2 linked regions of the Arabidopsis thaliana genome follow. The protein of the gene in region 1 interacts with the protein of each later gene in a pairwise test. Each region holds a gene or a part of one and is shown in the gene's direction. Other genes may lie near its edges.

Region 1 (4,819 bases):
TAAGAGGTTCATCATTTGACCTTACATGAACGAACGAAATATTCTCCACGCGAATATTTTTTCTTAAAAGTACTTTTGCAGGCGATGTATCTAATTAATTAACCTTTCTAGAGAGGTAACAAAAAATGTACCAAAGAAATTAAGAACTGTATCAAATATTATCCTTAAAATATGACCACTTGTGAAAACTCTATGTGCATATTCACATTTATAGATTTAATTTAGATATTGTGACTAAATGTACTCTTAATAGTTAGGGTGAATTATCCAATAGAAAGCAAATATAGTATACAAATAGATGTATGCAATTGTATGTATCGGCTCCTCTTTCGTCCACGCGATTGCCTTCTTTTGTGCTGTATTCGTTTAAAATCAATAGCAACGTACAATTGCGTCAAGACTAATCAGCAAGAATTGCGTCAGGATTATTCATAACCTAAAGTAATAAATGTTTAAATAGGTCAAATATATACTTTTTGAAAATACGTTACGGGAGTACATAACACCATATATTCTAGCGCATGTAATTTCTGAGTCGAAAAGTTGGAGAGTTGCCCAAGAACTAGAACATGACATTGATGCGGAGGAAGAACCTGAAGTAGTTGAAGCTTGTGAGTATGCGCACGTTCAAAGAGGAGAAGCTATGTGCCAAATTGACGCTTCGTGGACTGGTATTAACCAGAATGTTAGTTTGGGGTTCATGTTGACTAGCTCAACGACCAAGCTGTTTGGTCAAAGTAGCCAGAATTGTTATCGCAATGCCCTCTACGCAGAACTCGGAGCTCTTCTTTGGACAATGGAGTGCACTTTACAACAAAGTATCCAATCTATACATTTTGAAACCGATTGCTTAAGCTTACTTAAGATCCTTGATGAAAGTAAAGATTGGCCGGTGGAAAAGATTTTGCTAGATTTAAAGCTAGTTTTGGTCGGTTTTCTTTATCTCATATTCCACGCACTATGAATGTCCGTGTTGTCTGCCTCGCAAAGAGTGCAAGAGTACGAGGTGTACTTTTTTCCCATATAAACCCTCTCGTTTCGGAGTAGTTGGCCCACGAAACTAACTTTTTCGAACAAATTTAATTATTTGATGTTTTTGCGATAAAAAAAAACAAAAAAAAAACTTGGTTTATTAGAGGGCACAAAATCAAATTTATAACAAAATGAAGTTATTACGTTAGGTTGAAAAAAAGTATGACGTTTCAGGGATTAATAATTTAGCGTTAATGACTTAATGGTCCTCATCTTCATCAGATTAGAATGTAACATTCTATATGTGTCGCACCAAAAGACTAGTCTCGTCCTCTATAGCTATTAGCCTATTACCATCGCAATCTCCGACGTATTTTCCACTAGACTTGTAGCATGTTGCCTTCTAAAGCCGCCACATGATCCACTACCATCTTCATTTGCCCATCGGCCATCGCCACCAGAACCACCACATTGTTTAATTATATTATATGGATCAGAACTATATTCTTACAAATATTATGGGAAGTTGGGAATGTAGTGGTCAATTCATCACATCCTCATTTCATTATTTTCTTCTTCTATTAAAGTTGTTAATTCGACATTTTCAAATTGACGTTGCTTATTATCATTACCACACTCACAAATACAATCATTGCTCTTTAACGCAATTATAAAGCTCAAAACTACATTTCCAATAATACCCCTTGGAACATGCTCTTACTTTTTGCCAGCCTGCTAACGAATCATTAGTTGCCACATCAGCACGATAACTGAAGTCTTTGTCTTTTTCTCAAACGCGACGTCGTTTCTATTCCCTGACACAGAGATACGTATAGATACACCGTATATTCACTTTATTGCTCCTCTCCTCTTTCTCACGAAGAAGAAGACGAAGCCCATCAAATTAAACAAGAAAAATTCCATTTTCCTCCATTGATTGTGAGTGAGAACAAACATTTAAAGCTTCTTACTCAAAGTTTCTTTCTTTATAGATCTCAAAAAATTCGATATTTTTCTCGATTCATCCGCCATTAAGGTACACGAATCGTTTTTCGTCTTCTGAATTACTTGTGGGTTCGTCTTAATTTCGTTGGATCTGGGTTTGATTTTGGAGAAAAGTAATAAAGTTTCTGTCTTTTTTTTCTTTCGAATTTGTAGGTTTTATTGCGAGATCGAAGAGAGAAGGAGAAAATGACGCATAGAGTAGATCAGGAATATGATTATTTGTTTAAGATTGTGTTGATTGGTGATTCTGGTGTTGGGAAATCGAATATCTTGTCGAGATTCACCAGGAATGAGTTTTGCTTGGAATCTAAATCCACTATTGGTGTTGAATTCGCCACCAGAACTACTCAGGTGAGATTCGAATTTTTCTCTGTTTCTCTCTTTAAGTACTTTAGGAGTGAAATTCAGAATATTTGCTGTTAGAATCAGAGTAATACGAAGAGATAGTAATTTAGGTTTGGTATATAATGTTAAGAGGCTTAAAGATGGGATTTTGGGATAGGTTTTTTCTTCTTATTAGCTTGTCTCTGTTTTGATTTATCTTTAGCTATAATCCGTGAAGGTTTTTACTTTCACTGCTATACATAGATTTACCGTCTTCAGTTATGTATTTTGGTTTTGCTTGTAGCTTCATGACCACATTAGTGTAGTGTATATTTCAATTATGTAATTTGGTTTTGCTTGTAGCTTCATGACCTCATTAGTGTAGTGTAGAATTCAGGTATTCGATGGTTAATTTCAAGTGATGGCTCTAGAGCTTTTAGTCTGTTTTGTTTCGTTTAAAGTTGCTTCTTCGTTAGTTTCTTTGATTTGGATAGCAATTAAGTGATAGGTCTTAAGGTTTTTGGTTGCGTTGGTTTCTTAAGATTGAAGAATACAGTGTTTTGAGAGAGTAGACGGCGGATTTTTTCTCAGCTACTGAATCTTTTGTTCAAGAGAAAAAATCTTAGTTGTGCTGGCTATGAGTTATGACAGATGCTTTTCTCATTTTAAGACTATAAATGGATGGTCGTGAAGGCCAATTAAAAAAAATAAGAAGATTCTCACAGCTTGTCTCAATAATTCATTCTATTTCCTGATCATTTGTCATGCTTGACCTTGTCCACCTTTATACTTTCGTAAAGTCAACCGATAAATTTTTTGACAAGAGGAATTCTATGATACACTTATGTAGTTGAATGCGGAAAGATGCATTTAAAATGTTGATTGTTAATAATGTTACTAACCTGGTTTTAACAACTGAGAAGATATATGTTCTTTACTTTTGATTGTTGAATTAGCATTCTTATTCATAAACCTGGGAATGCTTCAATACCTAAGATCTAACTGGTTGTTACGGTGAATCTCTCATGCATACACAGGTTGAAGGAAAGACCATTAAGGCCCAGATCTGGGACACTGCAGGTCAGGAGAGGTACAGGGCGATCACAAGCGCGTATTACAGAGGCGCAGTGGGTGCACTTCTTGTCTACGACATTACTAAGAGACAGACCTTTGACAATGTTTTAAGGTGGCTGCGCGAACTGAGAGACCATGCAGATTCCAACATTGTGATCATGATGGCTGGGAACAAATCCGATCTGAACCACTTGAGATCCGTTGCTGAGGAAGATGGTCAAAGTTTGGCTGAGAAGGAAGGTCTCTCTTTCCTGGAGACATCTGCTCTTGAAGCAACAAACGTCGAGAAAGCGTTTCAGACCATCTTAGGTGAGATCTACCATATCATAAGCAAAAAGGCACTGGCTGCACAAGAAGCAGCAGCAGCTAATTCTGCAATCCCTGGGCAAGGAACTACGATTAACGTCGATGACACATCTGGAGGCGCGAAACGAGCATGTTGCTCTTCTTAAACTAAAGGTAAACTGTTTATTTCGGTTGCTCCTTGTTCAGAGATTCAAACTTTTGTTTTCACTGGCTTCTCTTCTTTTCAAGTTTTGGCTGATGAAACGTAACTATGCAAGACTATGTAGAATACTCTGTTTTTATTCTCTTCGGTTTGGGGTTTGTGTTCAGTTTAAAGCTTGTTAGTAGTATACTTAGAATCTTCTGGTGCTTGCTTGCTTTCCCTTCTTCTTCCCTTGGTGTGTTTCTATTGATTTCTGGTTTATAAAGTATTTTTTCTATCTCCGGTTTAGTCCGGTTCGTCTTGGCTTTGTTTAATCAAATCATTGATTCCTCTCTTATCAATGTATTGTATCCGGTTCCAAAATCCTCTCTTCATGTTACACACTGACAAGCTTCTACCAAAGAAAATAAATTTTAGTATTACGAAAGAAAAAATTGTTGACAAACTAATTTTGCTCCATCTATTATCACAAATAAAAATGCAATTGAACTGCAGTTACTATCAAATAATGGCTATGGTTTTTTATTTTGTTTTGAACCGACCAAATTAAAAGATGTTTTGAATTAATGGTATTATTTTCAAGTAAAATAGAGGAAAGTGACGACGATACATGGAGACAGAAAAGGAGTGATTGAGAAACCGATAACAAAAACGTCATTGTAGCCCAACTTGCAAAAACTAACCAATTGCATGCATGAAAGAGTTTATAATAAATCATGGAATTTTACATTGTCAACGTGTGAGGTTTTTCTTTTTGGACACAACCCAAAAGGCCTTTTAGTTCTAAATTGTTTCATATTAGAAAATTCTAAGTTCGGAAATGCTATACATGAAAATTCTTGGTGATTTCTAATGAGCAAAATAACATGAAAATTCTTGGTGATCCATTATATATATTTATGCGCCGAGAAACCATTCAGAGAAACAATAAGGAAGATAGTAAAACCTCATCTTTCTAATCGATAACTTCCATATCCTTCGATTAAAAGCTTTTGA
Region 2 (7,342 bases), on another chromosome or scaffold:
GTTGGTCCTGTTTTAACAAGACAAATATCCAAAGAGCTTGACCTCACTCTGTGTATGATCTCCTCGAATGTACCATTTTGTCTTCCTTCCATATCTATTCTTGCCCACTTATCAGGACCAAGATAGAGATCAAAGTTTGGATAAATATTAAGACCATCATAATTTCCATATATGAAGGTAACCAATATAAGATAATTTGTGCCACGAGTGACATTCAGACTAACAATTACGCTTTCCTTCCGGAAAGTATCTTAGAGTCAAATATGGTTTTCGGAATATTTTGTTGAGCTCTTTATCGACTCTACCACTTTCTCCAGTCTGGATAAATGTTGAATCTGATGTGAATGTTAATCCAGTAGATGGATCACTATAAGGAGATTCCTCAATAGGAAATCCGCAATCCAAACTGATGAAACCTGTTCAAGCATAAAAAGGATCGACGAAGTTTAAAAAAAAACTATATATAGAAGATATATCAATTTAAAGGATGGATGATCCTCGGTGAATATCTACTAAAGAGTTTATAAATTATTACCTTCTTGTTTTTGGGCGCCAACTATAACGGCAAAGGTTCCAATTATGGCCAACAAAAGATGGCTCATCATCTTCTTGGAAAGCTAATATGGAAATCAAGAACATAAAAAAGACTTGCTTAGTGAAAACAAGGAGCTACGTAAATGAGAAATACCTCACATACACAGATTGGAAGGAATAATACATTAAAGAAAGTCAACTTAAGCCAGACATGAAGATTGAATAATTGCGAGAATTGCTTTATTTTTGGTTTATTGTGTGAATTTCTTTGACATGTTCCAACCCCAACTTGTGTTTAAAATAATAGGTTATGATCATAAGACTCCGACATGTATAGGAATTTCCTTGTATTAAGGTTTGTATATGTCTTCTTTAAACCCTTGACCAAACATAATAAATCTTCGATTGATCGTTAGACTTGGAGCACAAGGATATAACAAGGTTTGATTTAAGTAATTAGTTTGAACCCGGTCGTTACAAAAAAGGATTTACTACATATGAAAAACAATTACATATTACAACCTATTTGAAACATTACGTCTGATTCACATAAAGAAACATTACGTCTGATCCACAATAATTATAGACGTAACTTATGTAACTTGTTGTAGAATAATTATGTAAAAGAGAGAATTCGTATATTACAACATGGACAGGAAAAAATAAAGATAAAGATCATTTTGTTTGATTCAATGATTTGCTTCTTACAAACTCAGGTATTTATACAAATAATGTGCATCAAGGTAGCCAGTACTAAATTTTAAAAATATATTTACAACCACACTTTAACTATTACAAACTTGTTAAAAAAGCAACAATAAAAAATAAGAATTATCACATAATTAATATTTTTATATAGTTAACACATACAGTTTCCGATTGTCAAAGCTCCATTAAAAAAGCAAATTGTGAACCAAGTGGATAATGGTCCAGTAGCGTTTGGAAATGATCTTTCCAAAATAAGGTTTGATCTCTTTTCCCACTAAATCCCACCTAACAAGGGATATTAACAAAGGTTGATGTAGAATTTCTTGGTTGACAATGTATAGTAATACTGAGAATATGAGCTATAACTATAAGAGGCCAGCTATCTCTTAACGTCTATGAGTAAGCCATAGATAGATAATGCATATACAGGCAAACAAAACGAATATTAGGGTTTGTCAAGAAAAGACTAATCTTAGTTTATTTTTGAAGACCAAGAATTTTACATTATTGCAGAGGTATTGCGATTATAATTGAGTGAAAGTCAACAAAATGTATTAAATCCACCAAGTTGTTGTTAAGTACAAGTCGTTAGCAGAATTATCATATAGTTTATAAAGCTTTGACATTAGATCAACTTGGCAGGTTTTACATTGTTTAAACAAAGATTACATCAGGTGCTTTGATTTATGATTAAATTGCTCTCTTTTTTCCACAAAGTGGAATATAAATGTATATATCTTTGTTAGACCATTCTTCAGTCGTGCTTGGATATGAATCTATAATTGGAGAGTATTCCACGCCAACATGTGTTTTGGATTTTAATTGATCTTCATCTAAAGTATTTCTATCATTTGTACTAGAAAATCAATATATTGTATCATATATTTCAGATTGTCTTTGGTTTCAAAAATTTGTATGTTAACTTAACTTGAAAATGGAAGGTCGTCGTCAACGTTTACTGGTGTTCATCTTTGGGGCTTTGGCCATTACACATCTTGTTCAAGCTCAGCCGCCTGATCAACGAGGTTTCTCTATATACCTTTTTTTAATAATTGCTTCATGTTCAGTTTTTGACACATAAAGACTTAAGGATTAGCCAAGTAGTTGAGTGTTCTTGCTCGACTGGTCGAGATCACTAACCGATTTCTACTTTGTTGTACGCATAGCCACCATGAAAATAATATTAACGATTACAGATATAAGAGATTTGGTTAAAGAAAATAAAGGATTCTCTGTTTTCCAAAACTTTTGATTGTCTTCCTTATAAGCTTCATGGTCTAACAAAAGGAAAACATTATTTTTCACTAATAATACATTTTGTATCTTGCCAGGATTCATCAGTTTGGATTGCGGTTTACCCGTTAATGAGTCTCCTTATACCGACCCACGAACCGGATTAACATTCTCATCTGATGCTGATTTTATTTTAAGTGGTTTACGTGGTGAAGCTGGGGATGATAACACATATATCTACAGGCAGTACAAGGATTTGAGATATTTTCCCGATGGAATACGAAACTGCTATAATCTGAAAGTAGAGCAAGGCATCAACTATTTGATAAGAGCAGGGTTCGGATATGGAAATTATGATGGTCTTAATGTATATCCCAAATTTGATTTACATGTTGGGCCTAACATGTGGATTGCGGTTGATTTGGAATTCGGAAAAGATCGTGAGATCATTTACATGACAACGTCGAACTTATTGCAGATTTGTCTTGTCAAAACAGGATCAACTATACCAATGATATCAACCTTGGAACTACGGCCACTAAGAAATGATTCATATTTGACTCAATTCGGTCCCTTAGACCTCATCTACCGGCGGGCCTATAGTAGCAATTCTACCGGTTTTATACGGTATGTAAACTCAACTTTAGCAACTCTTTTATAAAAAAAAACAATCTAACATGATTCATTTACTTTTGCATGGCTACTCCAAAAATGGTTTTAGGTATCCTGATGATATTTTTGATCGCAAATGGGACCGATATAATGAATTTGAAACGGATGTGAACACCACCCTCAACGTGAGATCCTCGAGTCCCTTTCAAGTACCAGAAGCTGTAAGTAGGATGGGAATCACGCCCGAAAATGCCAGCTTGCCATTGAGATTTTACGTGTCTCTAGATGACGACAGTGACAAGGTTAACGTGTACTTTCACTTTGCCGAAATCCAAGCTTTGAGGGGCAATGAGACTAGAGAATTCGACATTGAATTGGAAGAAGATATTATTCAGTCAGCATATAGTCCTACGATGTTACAATCAGATACCAAATATAACCTATCACCTCACAAATGTAGCTCCGGGTTGTGCTACTTGAAACTCGTTAGAACTCCAAGGTCAACTCTTCCACCGCTGATTAGTGCTATTGAGGCTTTCAAGGTTGTGGACTTTCCATACGCTGAAACAAATCCAAATGACGGTACGCCACTATTCCATTCTCTATTCTGTAAGAAAGGGCTTATTTGCAAAAAAAAAAAAAACAATCACAAAATTGGGGGAAAAATAATGGTCACAAAACGGAGAAAATATTCATGTGTTTATCGTGTTTAATTTGAAATATTGTACTACCATGTTAAAAATTGTGTTATGAAATATGACATGATATTTGTTAAAAATAGCGCGATAAATGAACCAACTTAATCTTTTTTTTTTTTGCAAATAATAGGGTGGAATTTTTGTTTATTTAGTACATACCCTCATTAAGAAACTTTAATCTTTTATATGCTAATTCTTGGCTTCCTCCTCGAACCATTATGTTAGTCGCTGCTATGAAGGATATCGAAGCATTTTATGGATTGAAGATGATTAGTTGGCAAGGAGATCCTTGTGTCCCTGAACTATTAAAGTGGGAAGATCTAAAATGCAGCTACACAAATAAGTCTACTCCTCCAAGAATTATTTCTTTGTACGATCATTATATATCTCATAAGCATATTGAAACCTAAATCTCTTAAGTCTTAAGTATCTTATATCTGAAAAAATGTTCTTATATTGTGAACAGAGATTTGTCATCACGAGGGTTAAAAGGGGTCATTGCGCCTGCCTTCCAAAATTTGACCGAGCTTCGAAAACTGTAAGAGCTATTAGTATTTTACTTAAACGCGATCCATGAGAAAACATTTATATTGTGACCAACATATTTCTAATTTTTCACATCTTATAACAAATTGGACGAAAAAAAATATCTCATCTCATACTATTTTTTTATTTATCCTATTAACGGAAAATAGATTGACTTTTTAACGTTTTATAAATACTAGAGACTTGTCAAATAATAGTTTTACTGGAGGAGTGCCCGAGTTTCTAGCCAGCATGAAGTCATTATCGATCATGTAAGTTGATATAAACAAACATAATGGCCGGCCACTTATATTTCACTAGGTATACTTGTTGTCACTTTACATTGACATTGTAATTTTGTGTTTACCTTGACAGAAATTTAAATTGGAATGACCTTACGGGTCCTCTTCCTAAATTGCTTCTTGATAGAGAAAAGAATGGGCTTAAGCTAACGTAAGATTTTCACCCTTCTTTTTTTTTTATCAACTTTCCTCAACCTATAGTCTTATTCAACAACACTTATTTTCTTAAGGATCCAAGGAAACCCAAAGTTGTGTAACGATGCGTCATGCAAAAATAATAACAATCAAACGTACATTGTACCAGTTGTTGCGTCAGTAGCTTCTGTGCTCATCATTATAGCCGTACTGATTCTCATTCTTGTTTTCAAAAAGAGAAGGCCAACGCAAGGTACATAATTATACAATGAGATATATATTCTTATCGTAACATGCATGCATGATGATGACATACCAAAAGATGCCTAATCTCATGGAACTTTTTGGTTGTGACAGTTGATTCATTACCTACAGTGCAACATGGGTTACCAAATAGACCGTCTATATTTACTCAAACGAAAAGGTTCACTTATTCAGAGGTAGAAGCATTAACAGATAATTTTGAAAGAGTTCTTGGAGAAGGAGGGTTTGGGGTAGTGTATCATGGTATTTTAAATGGTACGCAACCAATAGCTGTTAAACTACTCTCTCAATCATCAGTACAAGGCTATAAGGAATTCAAAGCTGAGGTATGTTAATACATAATACATGGAATATATTGTAACATGTGATGGCTCTTAAATTTGTTTGGACATGGGTGGTCAGGTTGAACTTCTTTTGAGAGTGCACCACGTCAATTTGGTTAGTTTGGTTGGATATTGTGATGAAGAAAGCAACTTGGCCCTGCTTTATGAGTATGCACCGAACGGAGACTTAAAACAACATCTATCAGGTATAAATTTGAATTTCCCACATTTTAAAATAGTGATTACTTAGCCATATTTTAATGTTCATGCTTTTATAACATTACTAAAAGTTTCTTAATTATAGGAGAACGGGGTGGCTCTCCATTGAAGTGGTCAAGTAGACTAAAAATTGTCGTCGAAACTGCGCAAGGTTCGTTCTTAGCTCAAATGCATTAATCACTTTATATGGATCATCTAACATGAACAATTTAATTATATAAATATAGGATTAGAATACTTGCATACGGGTTGCAAACCTCCAATGGTACATCGTGATGTAAAAACAACAAATATACTTTTAGACGAACACTTCCAAGCAAAACTCGCCGATTTTGGCCTTTCAAGATCATTTCCAGTTGGAGGTGAAACTCATGTTTCAACAGCTGTTGCTGGAACTCCTGGATATTTGGATCCCGAGTAAGTTTTACATCACCAAACTAGTTTGATTCAAATTGTTTTTCCTCATTCATTTGAAAAAAAAAATACTTCATGTTTTGTTTGTAGATATTATCGAACAAATAGGTTGAACGAAAAGAGTGATGTATATAGCTTTGGGATTGTATTATTGGAGATCATCACAAGTCGACCTGTGATTCAGCAAACCCGAGAGAAGCCGCACATAGCAGCATGGGTGGGATACATGCTTACTAAGGGAGATATTGAGAACGTTGTGGATCCAAGACTCAATAGAGATTATGAGCCTACTTCTGTTTGGAAGGCTCTTGAGATAGCAATGTCTTGCGTGAATCCTTCTTCGGAGAAAAGACCAACCATGTCTCAAGTTACTAATGAACTAAAGCAATGTCTAACATTAGAAAACTCAAAGCGAGGAGTGAGAGAAGACATGGGATCAAGAAGTTCTGTTGAAATGAGCACAAGCTTTACAACCGAAATTAACCCAAAAGCACGATAACTTGTGCCAAAAAAAATCCCATGGTTATTAAGGATTTTGGATTTCCCTGACTTACTTTACAAAAATATAATTTTTGGTGGTCATTTATTTGTACGACTTCATTGTATTTACTTGTGATTGTGGTCGTATGTGATATTAGTGTGGATGTTTTGTTTGGTTTGGTTTGGTTTGGTTTTATGTTGGTTGTGGCCTTGTGTGTGTTTTGGCGGTGATCCATCATAAATGATTCTTTTGCAAATCTCTGATGATTTTTTTCATCGGATTATGGTATTTTTATTGTTTATATATGCTCACTGATCCAAAATATGTTGTCATTGTTTATGTTACATGCTTCCCTAACTCCTTTTGTAATTGATCAAAAACTTTTGTTTGATAATTATCAAGTTTTGGACTAGTTCTTTTGGTCCATGGACTACAAATCTGCTTCCATCTAATGTTTCTCTGGACCAGTCTCATAATTATACATTTGTTGTTCACATAGTACATCTCCATAATATCATATATTTGACTTTCGGTATGAAATCTTTGTATATATATAGGTTGGACCAAGAAGTTAGGATTCATAATCATAAAAAGTAAGAAAGACGACTAGTTCACGACTCACATCAAATTCCAAAGTATAATTTTCTTCGTAAAATGAAAGTTATATTAGATGAAAATCTTGCAGGTCCATTGGATATCAATTCACGAGATATGTAAACATACCTATATTAATATCACATTATTTTGATTGTATTTGTATAAGTTTTCGCCTACTCACATGCCATGATTTTGCATAAGCTGTTTTTTTTTTTTTGCATAAGCTTATCAGGCTAGTTACGGTCACATTAGTTACTAGAACATTCAACATATATAATTTTCCATAGCAGGATCCGG

The links. Proteins that work in one complex are often made in the same cells at the same time.
Region 2: the proteins of RABA2c (region 1) and AT2G28960 interact in a protein complementation assay, tested with the Arabidopsis thaliana proteins (one large-scale study listed by BioGRID).

The regions. Positions count from the first base shown.
Region 1 is NC_003074.8:17,245,707-17,250,525, reverse strand, and holds RABA2c (RAB GTPase homolog A2C), read left to right. Parts: upstream 1-1,702; 5' UTR 1,703-2,008; intron 2,009-2,130; 5' UTR 2,131-2,163; coding exon 2,164-2,328; intron 2,329-3,338; coding exon 3,339-3,827; 3' UTR 3,828-4,298; downstream 4,299-4,819. UniProt on the Arabidopsis thaliana protein: Intracellular vesicle trafficking and protein transport.
Region 2 is NC_003071.7:12,437,182-12,444,523, reverse strand, and holds AT2G28960 (Leucine-rich repeat protein kinase family protein), read left to right. Parts: upstream 1-1,931; 5' UTR 1,932-2,176; coding exon 2,177-2,267; intron 2,268-2,573; coding exon 2,574-3,102; intron 3,103-3,196; coding exon 3,197-3,669; intron 3,670-4,010; coding exon 4,011-4,155; intron 4,156-4,251; coding exon 4,252-4,323; intron 4,324-4,510; coding exon 4,511-4,582; intron 4,583-4,685; coding exon 4,686-4,763; intron 4,764-4,842; coding exon 4,843-5,000; intron 5,001-5,104; coding exon 5,105-5,337; intron 5,338-5,413; coding exon 5,414-5,540; intron 5,541-5,638; coding exon 5,639-5,704; intron 5,705-5,780; coding exon 5,781-5,970; intron 5,971-6,057; coding exon 6,058-6,466; 3' UTR 6,467-6,806; downstream 6,807-7,342. Other genes in the region: AT2G28970 (Leucine-rich repeat protein kinase family protein), read right to left, coding at 225-416, 536-605.